Canis lupus familiaris: one gene and its partners. The protein of the gene in region 1 purifies or fractionates together with the protein of each later gene. This does not show direct contact. Links are inferred from orthologs where the notes say so. Each region holds a gene or a part of one and is shown in the gene's direction. Other genes may lie near its edges.

Region 1 (2,472 bases):
CCTCCAGTGCTCACCACCCCTCCTCTTCATTTCCCTGAATCTGAGATCACCATATTCCGGTGCCTCTGAGACTGTCTCTTGCCCATCATGCTTTTTTCCTTGTCCTCTCCCCAACGTCTCCATTCTCCAGAACCCTGGAGCTCTCAGTGGGCAGTGTCCATGTTCCTGGAAGCTCTAAGGAATGTTAACGTTATGTTCAAGAAAGGCTTCCAGGCCAGATAAACCAGGCACCTCTAGAAGGAAAGCTAGAGAGATTCTGTATATACAAGGACTCAGGAAACTGGTTTGCCATTAGGAGTGTGACTTTCCCAGAGCAGAAGGCAGTTTTCATCTAGTCCTTTTTCCTTCTTTTACAGTTCCCCCGTGTGCCAGGTAAAGAAAGAGGCGTCTGTGAGCATCATTTCTATATTTTATCTACCATATAGTTTGACCTGGAGAGTCTGCAGTGACACTCTTGTGTGGCATTCTTGTTCTCTCTCCCTTGCTGTCCATAAGTTTTTGAGGGATTTTTATTTTTTCTTGTGAGGCCTTTTGGTGCTGAGCACTTAGTAATAAAACATTGAGCTGTTGCTTCAGCATCTGTGCACATGTTAAAACAGAAGTAAACTTGGTATTTTGTTTTCTGCGAGCTGTTTAACCTAAAGTAAACTGTGGGAGTTGGCGCAGGAGGTCGGTCTCCATTCATTTCTGGATGCTCACCTAATGGAGCTCTGATGTCTGCTTTTCTCCATCCCAACTAGGTGATACTATCAACCAAAGCACCCTGCCCTCCCAGCAGAACCGTTTCCCAGACTACCTAGAAGCCATTCCTGGGACAAATGTGGACCTCGGAACGCTGGAGGGAGATGGGATGAACATAGAAGGAGAGGAGTTGATGCCAAGTCTGCAGGAAGCTCTGAGCTCTGACATCCTTAACGACATGGAGTCCGTGCTGGCTGCCACCAAGCTGGATAAAGAAAGCTTTCTCACATGGTTATAGAGCCCTCAGGTAGACCGAATTCCAAATCTGTGAAGGATCTAAGGAGATGAGACGTGTATGCTCGAAATTTCCAAGTAAGCCAGTCGTAGTCTTCTGGCTGACACCGAAAAAGATGAACAGACGTCCAGCAAGATTCTTTCATCCACTATTTTGCTCTTCGTGTCCATTGCTGCTGTTAATATGTTGCTGACCTCTTTCATAGTTGGCTCTAAAGAATCAAAAAAAAAAAAAAAAAAAAAAAACTTTTTTTTGTTTCTTTTGCTATTATAACTACTGTTCGTTTTGGGGGCTGGGGGAAGTGAGCCTGTTTGGATGATGGATGCCATTCCTTTTGCCCAGTTAGGTGTTGACCGATCATTTTAACTAAATCCTCAGACTTGGAAGTCAAATGCTTCATGTCACAGCGTTTAGTTTGTTCAGGCAATTGTTTCTTCAGCTGCCTTTGGCCAGTGGAGAAACATGACTTACTGGTCTGCCAAGCCAAAAATGTTGTATGGATGTTGAGTCCTTAATGCTGATGTGATGAGCTAGCTGAAACCAAGGCTGAAGACTGTTCTGCTTTCCCTCACACTGCTAGCATTAGTCACAGAGTGACCTTGATTTTATTTTAGGAGCTTCTGAGGCATGAGACAGTTTCCATAGAAATATATTAATTATTGCCACATACTGTAGTATAGGTTTTGGTGGGTTTTATTGTGGGTTTGGTTTTTTTTGTTCGTTTTATTTTGTTTTGATTGGTTGGGTTGTGCTTTTTTTTGTTTTTGTTTTTCCCCCAGAACCGAGACAAATTACCATAGTAGCCAATCTGTTTATAGTTGTTGCTTGGTGCAGTTATTGTAGTTCCTTTGGTAAAATCTACATTTCCTAATTTTTTACCATCTTATTTAAATCTTGATTATCTGCTCTCTCTATATATATACCCCCACACACACTTATAAGGTTTATAATAGTGTGATAGCAGAATGTATCTTTTTTTAAGGTTTCCATACTTTCCAATTTATTTTAAAATGGTAGTTTTGAATGTATGTATTTAGAATATGTGACTAGTAGTTTATATCTCACGGTAGTGTAAATCTGATTGAGACAGTCTGCAGACATTAGAGGTAGTTATTCTAGAAAGCATAGTGTCTGGAGGAGTACTATATGCACTCTGGGCACACAATATTGTCTGATGAATTTGAAAGAAGCAAACAAGATACAGCTTTATTTTCCCTTGACACTCCCATGGACTAATTTTGAACCTTGTTGGGAAATCACTAAGTAGGTTCATAACATACATGGAGACTTGCTCCTACTTCTGTATGCCGAGAATTGACCCTGGAAGTATATATAGAATACTGCCGAGGGTATAAGTTAGCTGGTAAAGTGATCAGATTAATTAATGTATATCAGTAGTTGAGTTTAGCAAAGAAATAGAGATAATCATGATTATACTTTTATTTTTACAGGAAGAGATATAACTAGAGTATGTGTCTACAGGAGTAATAATAATG
Region 2 (3,268 bases), on another chromosome or scaffold:
CTCTTTGGACTCCGAGACGTTTTACTGTGGCCTTATAAAAACAAACAAGAAACCCAACCGTTAAGCAACCATTAGGCAGTTTAAATCACCAAGGGGTGTGTTCAGCAGACATCCTCACGTTGTCCCCAGCCTTACTCCAGCTCCTTCTAGTCCCCCGTCCCTGAGCCCCCCTCTTTCTCTCTGTCTATCTGTCCTCCTCTGCCCTGGCCCTACCCTACCCTACCCTGGCTCTGACCTCTGTCCCCATCCAGATCCCTCACTTCCTCTCTGTTCAAGAGGCTGGCTCAAGCGTGGGTGGGGAATGGAATGGGACGGAGTAAGGCATGTCTGCTGTGCACATTCCCGGGACCCTGCAGCTCCCCTCGGTAGACGACACTCACTTCTCTCTCCCCTTGTACTTATAGCCTCCCGAGGTGAAGCCCCCAATGGAGCCTATGGGTATTCTTACACGCCCAGCGGGGCCTATGTCTTTCCCCCGCCAGTCGCCAATGGAATGTACCCCTGCCCTCCTGGCTACCCCTATCCACCGCCCCCACCTGGTGAGTGTGTCCTTTGCTGCCCACCCCCTTTACCCCCCTCCCACTAATCACCCCTACCCCTACCCCTCCCCCGGCCAGGCCAGGGGGTTGTAGAGGGGAGACTTGTTCTTTGAGCTGCTTCAGGACAAATGGAGGAGCTGGAGAGGCCCGGGAGGTGCCAGCTGAGGGAGCTGGGGGCTAGGTTGCTCACTGGGTCTCTATCACTCTCTTGTGGAGCAGAGTTCTATCCAGGACCTCCCATGATGGATGGGGCCATGGGATATGTGCAGCCTCCACCGCCGCCCTACCCTGGGCCCATGGAGCCTCCAGTCAGCGGCCCTGATGTCCCCTCCACTCCAGCAGGTGAGACCCTGGGCTGCTAGCAGTCCTGGGGGGCCAGCTCTCTCCTCTCCATGGCTGCATGGAGAGCTCAGCAAACGGCTAGAGATTGGCCAGGAGCCCTGAATGGTGAATGACCCCTGGGCTTGGTCTAGTCCAGGGGATTGGCAGTGTGGTGGCTGCTGGTGAAGATCTAGATTCCAGTCGTCCTTCCCCCCACCCCTCCCCCCGCCGCTAGCTGTGGGCCCTGGGGCGGAGAAGATCTCCCTCTGTCATCTCATCATCCACGATCAGATAGTGGCAGTACCACATGGTGGGATTGTGCGGAGGATCAGGTGGGGAGAAGTGGGTAAAGGGACTGGAAGGGACCCAGTAGCACCGCCTCCGGGGGCAACTGGAAGAGGGGAGGGCTTGTCGCTGGGGCTCACCCGGAGTGTGTTTGCTCTCACAGCTGAAGCCAAGGCTGCAGAAGCGGCTGCCAGCGCCTATTACAACCCGGGCAACCCACACAATGTCTACATGCCCACGGTGAGCCGGGCCGGGGGCGGGCCGACAGCTCTCAAGGGTTTGGGGCAGGGAGACCTTGTCTTGTCGTGAACCTTCTAATGGGATTTTTTTTCCTTCCTCCCTCAGAACCAGCCTCCGCCACCTCCCTACTACCCCCCAGAAGATAAGAAGACGCAGTAGACCCCTCCTGCCCCTGCCTCCCACCCCTCATCACTCTCCCCTTCCCTTCTCCTGGGGGCTGACACTGGGGCTAGGAGGGTGATGGAAGGGGCCCTGTTCTTCCTCCAGGTCTGATTATAAAATACTTCCCAGAGACTGGTGTTGAGGGAAGGGGGGGCACCCCTTGACTTGGGAGCCATGCCTCCCGCTTTTCAAGCTCAGAGCCCAGGGTGCCGCTCGGATGCGCTCCCCTCTCACCATCTCCGGGGTTCTGCTCAGGAGCGCGGGCATCCACCTCGTTCCTGTCCTGCTCTAGTAGCTTCTGCCCACAGAGGGACTCTCTGGCCACCTCCTCTACCGCAGTCCAGCTCCCTCGTTTTGGAATCCACTTTATACTCAGCCTTGTGAACTCCCTCAGACCAGCCTTGTGTCTTCCTGGGGGCCCTGCCGGGCCCCTCTCACCTTCCCTCCACTCTGGTCTGTACCTACCTGTGGAAGGCCACGTTCTCACCGGGCTCTTGGCCCACATTCCAATCCCAGCCAGCTTCCAGCCCGGTCACACTCACCTTCTCCTCCCTGTTCTGTCCTTGGTCCTCTGTTGCCACCACTTTGGCTTTTGGAGCTTTAACTTGAGCTTCTGAAAGGTGGGCGGCATCCGGCCAGACTGCTGTGATGGGGAGGGAGCCCACTGCTTCCCTCCATTTTTGGTTTTTGTTTCCCTTGGCCTTCTCTCTTCTCCCTCTAGAAGGGGCTTCTCAGACTGGAACTGGAGAATGCATGTTCATTCCATCATGCCGTGTTGGGGCTGCTGGGTGCTGACCCCTGGGGCCTGGCCTGAGCCTGTGTGTGCTGTCCGTGACCTCCTCACCAGCCCCTCCCCCTGCCCTTGTCCATTTAAGCTTCATGCATAATTGGTGATATGCCCCCTGGATGCATTAAAATTTGCTTTCATTTGCTTCTGGACTGGCCGAGAAGGGAGGAGATGGTTATTTAAAAGAGAATTCCCTATTTATTTGACAAAAAAAAAAAAAAAAAAAAACAGTTAATATATTAATGTGAAATAAACCCTGTTTGCACCTTTATTTGCTGAAAATGTGAAGTAGTAAAAATGAAGTGACTGGACCCTTTTTGGCTCTGTGTGGTGACCAGTGTGAACTCTTTGGGGAAAGGGGTCTTGCTGCTAAGGGCCCTGAGGGTGGCCCCGTGGGGAGACCGTCCCCTCCGCATGTGAGAGCCCTTGGTTCCCACGCTAAGGCCCCCCATGGCTCTAGTCTGTGCTGATGACTCAGCAGCTTGGCCCACCCGTGGGGTCCCCTGGGGCCTGGGCAGCAGCAGCAACAGCAGCTGCCCTGGGCGGGAGACCCTGGAGGCAGGCGCCGGGCTGCTGGGCTGCTGTGCTCCCCACCCCGGGGAAGAGCGGCCCTGGCCCAGTGCCTGCAGGAGGAACGTGCCAGGCAGTCCCTCCAGCGCGTGGCTGCTCCTGTGAACCTCCACGTCTGGGTGTAGGGGAGGGAAGGAAACCCCCAGAGCCCATGCCCAGGCCTGCAGCCCCTGGGCCCTGGCCTGGAGGAGAGCCTGGGCCTGGCCTCAGTGGGCCTGGGGCTCTGAGAAAGCGCTGGACTCTGTCCGTCTCTTGTCCTGGCTGCCAGCCCCGCCCAGGAGCCCTTGGCCTTGGCCAGCCCCCTACAAGGGCATTTGAAGAGAGCACCTCCCGACCGTCCTTGTGGGGGAGGGGGCCGCGGGGC
Region 3 (3,751 bases), on another chromosome or scaffold:
CCTTCGGCCCAGGGCATGATCCTGGAGACCTGGGATGGAGTCCCACATCGGGCTCCCTGCATGGAGCCTGCTTCTCCCTCTGCCTGTGTCTCTGCCTCTCTCTCTCTCTCTCTCTCTCTGTGTGTCTCTCATGAATAAATAAATAAAATCTTAAAAAAAAAAAGTAAGTAAGTAAAACTGGATGGAACTGGAGGGTGTTTTGCTGAGTGAAATAAGTCAACCCGAGGACAATCATCATGTGGTTTCACTCATGTGTGGAATATAAGAAATGGTGAAAGGGACCATAAGGGAAGGGAGGCGGGAAACTGAGTGGGGAAAAGTTAGAGAGGGAGACCATGAGGGACTCCTAACTCTGGGAACCAAAGGGTTGCAGAGAGGGAGGTGGGTGAGGAGGCTCGGGTAACTGGATGATGGGCACTAAGGAGGGCATGGGATGAGCACTGAGTGCTATACTATATGTTGGTAAATTGAATTGAATTGAAATTTAAAAAGAGAAAAGAAAAAACTGAGCAGCCATCGGTTACTTGGCTTCATCACTTCTGCTCCGCGTGACCCTGGGGCAAGCTAATTAACCTCCCTGGGCCTTGGTTTCCTCATTTAAACTCAGGGATGATAACAGAATTCCCTGGGAGGATGACTTGGGAGGACTGCCTGGGATGACGAGGCGAGGAGCGGGTGGTGGCACACCGTGCACCCTGCGTAAATTCGGGGATGCCCATTACTACCTTTTTCCAGAAATGTTGGACAGAGCGCCTGCCCGCGGGTGATTCAAGTAGTTCGGTGGCTCCAATTAACCGGAAGATTCTCAACCCAGATTCACACTTCCTGTGGAGACAGGCCCTAAAAGAGCTGGCAAAGGTGTTTGTAAACAATAACAGGGCAATTCAAGGGTGGCCGCTGGCGGTGAGAGCAGTGGGGGTTCGGAGACTCGAGCCGGACCGAGGTAGAGTCCAAGCAAGCCGGGCGGGTGTGGACATCTTGACAGTCCTCCTCCCCTTGCACACACACACACACACACACACACACACACACACACACGGGGCCCCTCTCCCTGCAGCAAAGCCCAGAACCCCTTGGGGACCCGCGACTGCCCATCTCCGGGTGTCGTTTCGCGGATGGGCTGAAGGAGTGGGTGCAAGGTGGAGGTGGGGACGGGTCGGGGGGGGGGGTGGCAATGGCCGAGGGCATGAATCCGTCCCCAGCAGCCCCGGGGGCCCACGGCGGTGGCGTGGGGAGGCCGCGGAGGGAGGCGCCGCGCGTCCCGGGGACCGAGCTCCGGGACCGAGCTCCGGGGCGCGCGGCACCGCCTCCCGGGAGGAAGGCGGGGGCCGGGAGGAGGGCGGGGAGGAGGCGGAGGGCGGCGGAGGGCGGAGGAGGGCGGCGCGCTGCGAGGTTATTTGTGGTTCGCTTTGATCCCGAGGGGGAACCTGAAACTCTCACATTCCTGGCATAGCAGCCGCCTCCGGCGCGGGCCGAGCCTGGAGCTGCGCGCCGGGGCCCGGGCGGCCAGAGCGTCGGCGCCGCCGCCGAGTGCACACCGCCACCGCCGCCGCCACCGAGCCGGGCGAGCCGCGCCGGGCCGACCACGCCGAGCACCCGCGGGCCGCAGCGGTAAGGACGGCCGCCCGGCGCCTCGGGGAGCGCGGCCCGGGAGCCACGGTGCAGCCGGAGCCCCCGCGCAGCCCGCCCTTCCCGGGAGCGGGAGCGGGAGCGGGAGCCGGAGCCCGGCGCGGCGCGGCGAGCGACCCCGGGTGCGGGGCGCCCTTGCGAGGAAGCGCAGAGGCGGCCCGGGGCCGTCCCGAGCTCTGGGCGGCCCGCGGGCCCCCTGGGGCGGGGGGAGGGGGCAGCCTTTGCGGGGAGCGGGGGCTTATGCTTCGGGTCGTGGGCTGGGCAGAGGGGCGCCGCTGCGGGTTCAAGGTGCGGGCCCTGGGGCCGATCCGGTTGGGGGCAGATCACAGGTGTCCTTGCCCCCAACCCGTCCAAGAATTCCTCTTTGTCTTCCTTGGAAAATCCTCTCTGGAGCCTCGGAACGGCTCTCACTTAGAAAGAATGCGGCCGGCCGGCCAGCCCGGTGACGTCAGCGCTGGAGCATTCGGAAAACAAAGAGGGCTCGGGAGGCCGGGAGGGAGGCGGACCCGCGACGCTTAAAGACCTTGCTGGGCCACCGGCCCCCGCCCCCCCCCCCCCCCCCCGCGCGCTCCGGGTGCTCGCGGTCGGCCGGGAGCCCGGGCAGGGCGGCATCCCTGCTGCGGTGCACGCCTCCTTAGAGACCCTCGCGTGGGTTCCGTAGGCGAGGCCGAGCCCCGGCGCGAGCCGGAGTGGTTTGCTTACCGGGGAGGGGGCGCTGGTTTTCAGGAAGCCGGGGTGCGCCGGTGCAGCGAAGGTGCATGGCCGGGTCGCGGTCACAGATTTTAGTAACGGCTCAGCCGAAAGAATGTGCATCTGAGGGGTCTGACGGGGACAAACGCGGCACAGGGGCCCCGGAGGTGCTCCCGGCTCCCAGGCTCACGGCTGCGGGGGGGACACGAGGAGCCCGTCCCGAAAGCTCTGCACGCCACCCCCCCCCCCTTCTCCCCACCCTGCTCCCCACCGTCATTCTCGGCTGGAGAGTCAGCCCAGACTGATTACTTTAGGAAATGCCCCGCGGAGGAAACTCTAGGGCGAATTGATTGCAGTTTGTTTTGCCTCTGGTAACTCTGGAGTCTTGCATCTCCACGCCTCCGGGGTGTAGGGAGAGGGGGCGGCCGATTGGGTGCCAAGAAGGATGGGCACAGAGATGCCTTCCAGACTCCTCTCCCTCTCCTCATTTCTGGGCAGCCTGGAGGGAGGAGTAGATTGGCACTGGCTGCTCTGCCAACCTACCAAACCTTAAAGGCAGCAGGGCAATGGGGCTAGTTTTGTGGCCGAGAAGGGACCACATTCTTCCCACTGACCTCCCCCCATACATAAGACCTGTGGGGATAGGGGTTTTGTTTGGTTTTCCCTGAATCTAGTTAGGAGTTTTGTGTGGGAGGAGGCTGTGGAAGGAAGCTGGGTGAGGCAGGCAGCCTCGGGACATGAGCCACTGAGAGCCCAAGCTCAGAGGGCAATACCTTCCTCAGGAGATACTCCCTGCTCTTGAAGCTTCCAGCAGCCCACCCCCGCCCCAGACTCCGGTCCCTGCAACCAAGAGCTTCTCCCTCGCTCCCCTACTCCTCCAGTTAGCTCAGATAAGTGTTACCGATGGCAAAATGCTGAGTGCCCACCCTCTATGTGGCAGAGGGCCATCGGGGTCTTTTCCAAGTAGCAAGTGTACGTGTGTAGGAGGGACAGTCCTAAAGTCAAAGACACGGTGCCGCCCTTTGTTTTTCCTGGAGCACCCATGCAGTTGCTGTCAGCACACAGACTATGACTGACCCACAAACCTTGACGGGTGGCATCTTTTTCACCTCATTTCACAAAACCATCGTCCTGTTGTAGCTTCTCCTTTGATCCCTTATTATTTGCCAAACCCGATGCATTTTTGTCCTTCCTGTTCACCTTGCAGAGTGACCGTCAAGGTCATCCCGTGACAGAGAGGGCCCAGCATGGTAAAGGTGGTAGAGGGTGGTGAGTTACCCGTGCCAAGCCTAGGGCTCAGGCATGCTACATTCTAGAGGGAGCTAGGGGCTGTCTGCCTAGGGCTTCTACTAGGCTGGACTCCTTCTTTATCACCTGCCAATGAACTGGGGCCCTGTCTACCCCTAGACTGGCCTGCTCAGTGGTTGTAGCT

What was found.
Region 2: the proteins of YAP1 (region 1) and WBP2 purify together in Homo sapiens (affinity purification with mass spectrometry; 7 studies listed by BioGRID and IntAct, with this or other methods). This does not show direct contact. The link is inferred for Canis lupus familiaris from reciprocal best matches to the Homo sapiens genes YAP1 and WBP2.
Region 3: the proteins of YAP1 (region 1) and AMOTL2 purify together in Homo sapiens (affinity purification with mass spectrometry; 10 studies listed by BioGRID and IntAct, with this or other methods). This does not show direct contact. The link is inferred for Canis lupus familiaris from reciprocal best matches to the Homo sapiens genes YAP1 and AMOTL2.

Annotation. Positions count from the first base shown.
Region 1 is NC_049226.1:29,535,083-29,537,554, reverse strand, and holds part of YAP1 (transcriptional coactivator YAP1), read left to right. Parts: intron 1-740; coding exon 741-979; 3' UTR 980-2,472. UniProt on the Homo sapiens protein: Transcriptional regulator with dual roles as a coactivator and corepressor. Critical downstream regulatory target in the Hippo signaling pathway, crucial for organ size control and tumor suppression by restricting proliferation and promoting apoptosis.
Region 2 is NC_049230.1:5,630,333-5,633,600, forward strand, and holds the end of WBP2 (WW domain-binding protein 2), read left to right. Parts: intron 1-404; coding exon 405-539; intron 540-758; coding exon 759-881; intron 882-1,308; coding exon 1,309-1,385; intron 1,386-1,490; coding exon 1,491-1,544; 3' UTR 1,545-2,645; downstream 2,646-3,268. UniProt on the Homo sapiens protein: Acts as a transcriptional coactivator of estrogen and progesterone receptors (ESR1 and PGR) upon hormone activation. In presence of estrogen, binds to ESR1-responsive promoters. Synergizes with YAP1 to enhance PGR activity.
Region 3 is NC_049244.1:31,682,019-31,685,769, reverse strand, and holds the start of AMOTL2 (angiomotin-like protein 2), read left to right. Parts: upstream 1-1,484; 5' UTR 1,485-1,611; intron 1,612-3,751. UniProt on the Homo sapiens protein: Regulates the translocation of phosphorylated SRC to peripheral cell-matrix adhesion sites. Required for proper architecture of actin filaments.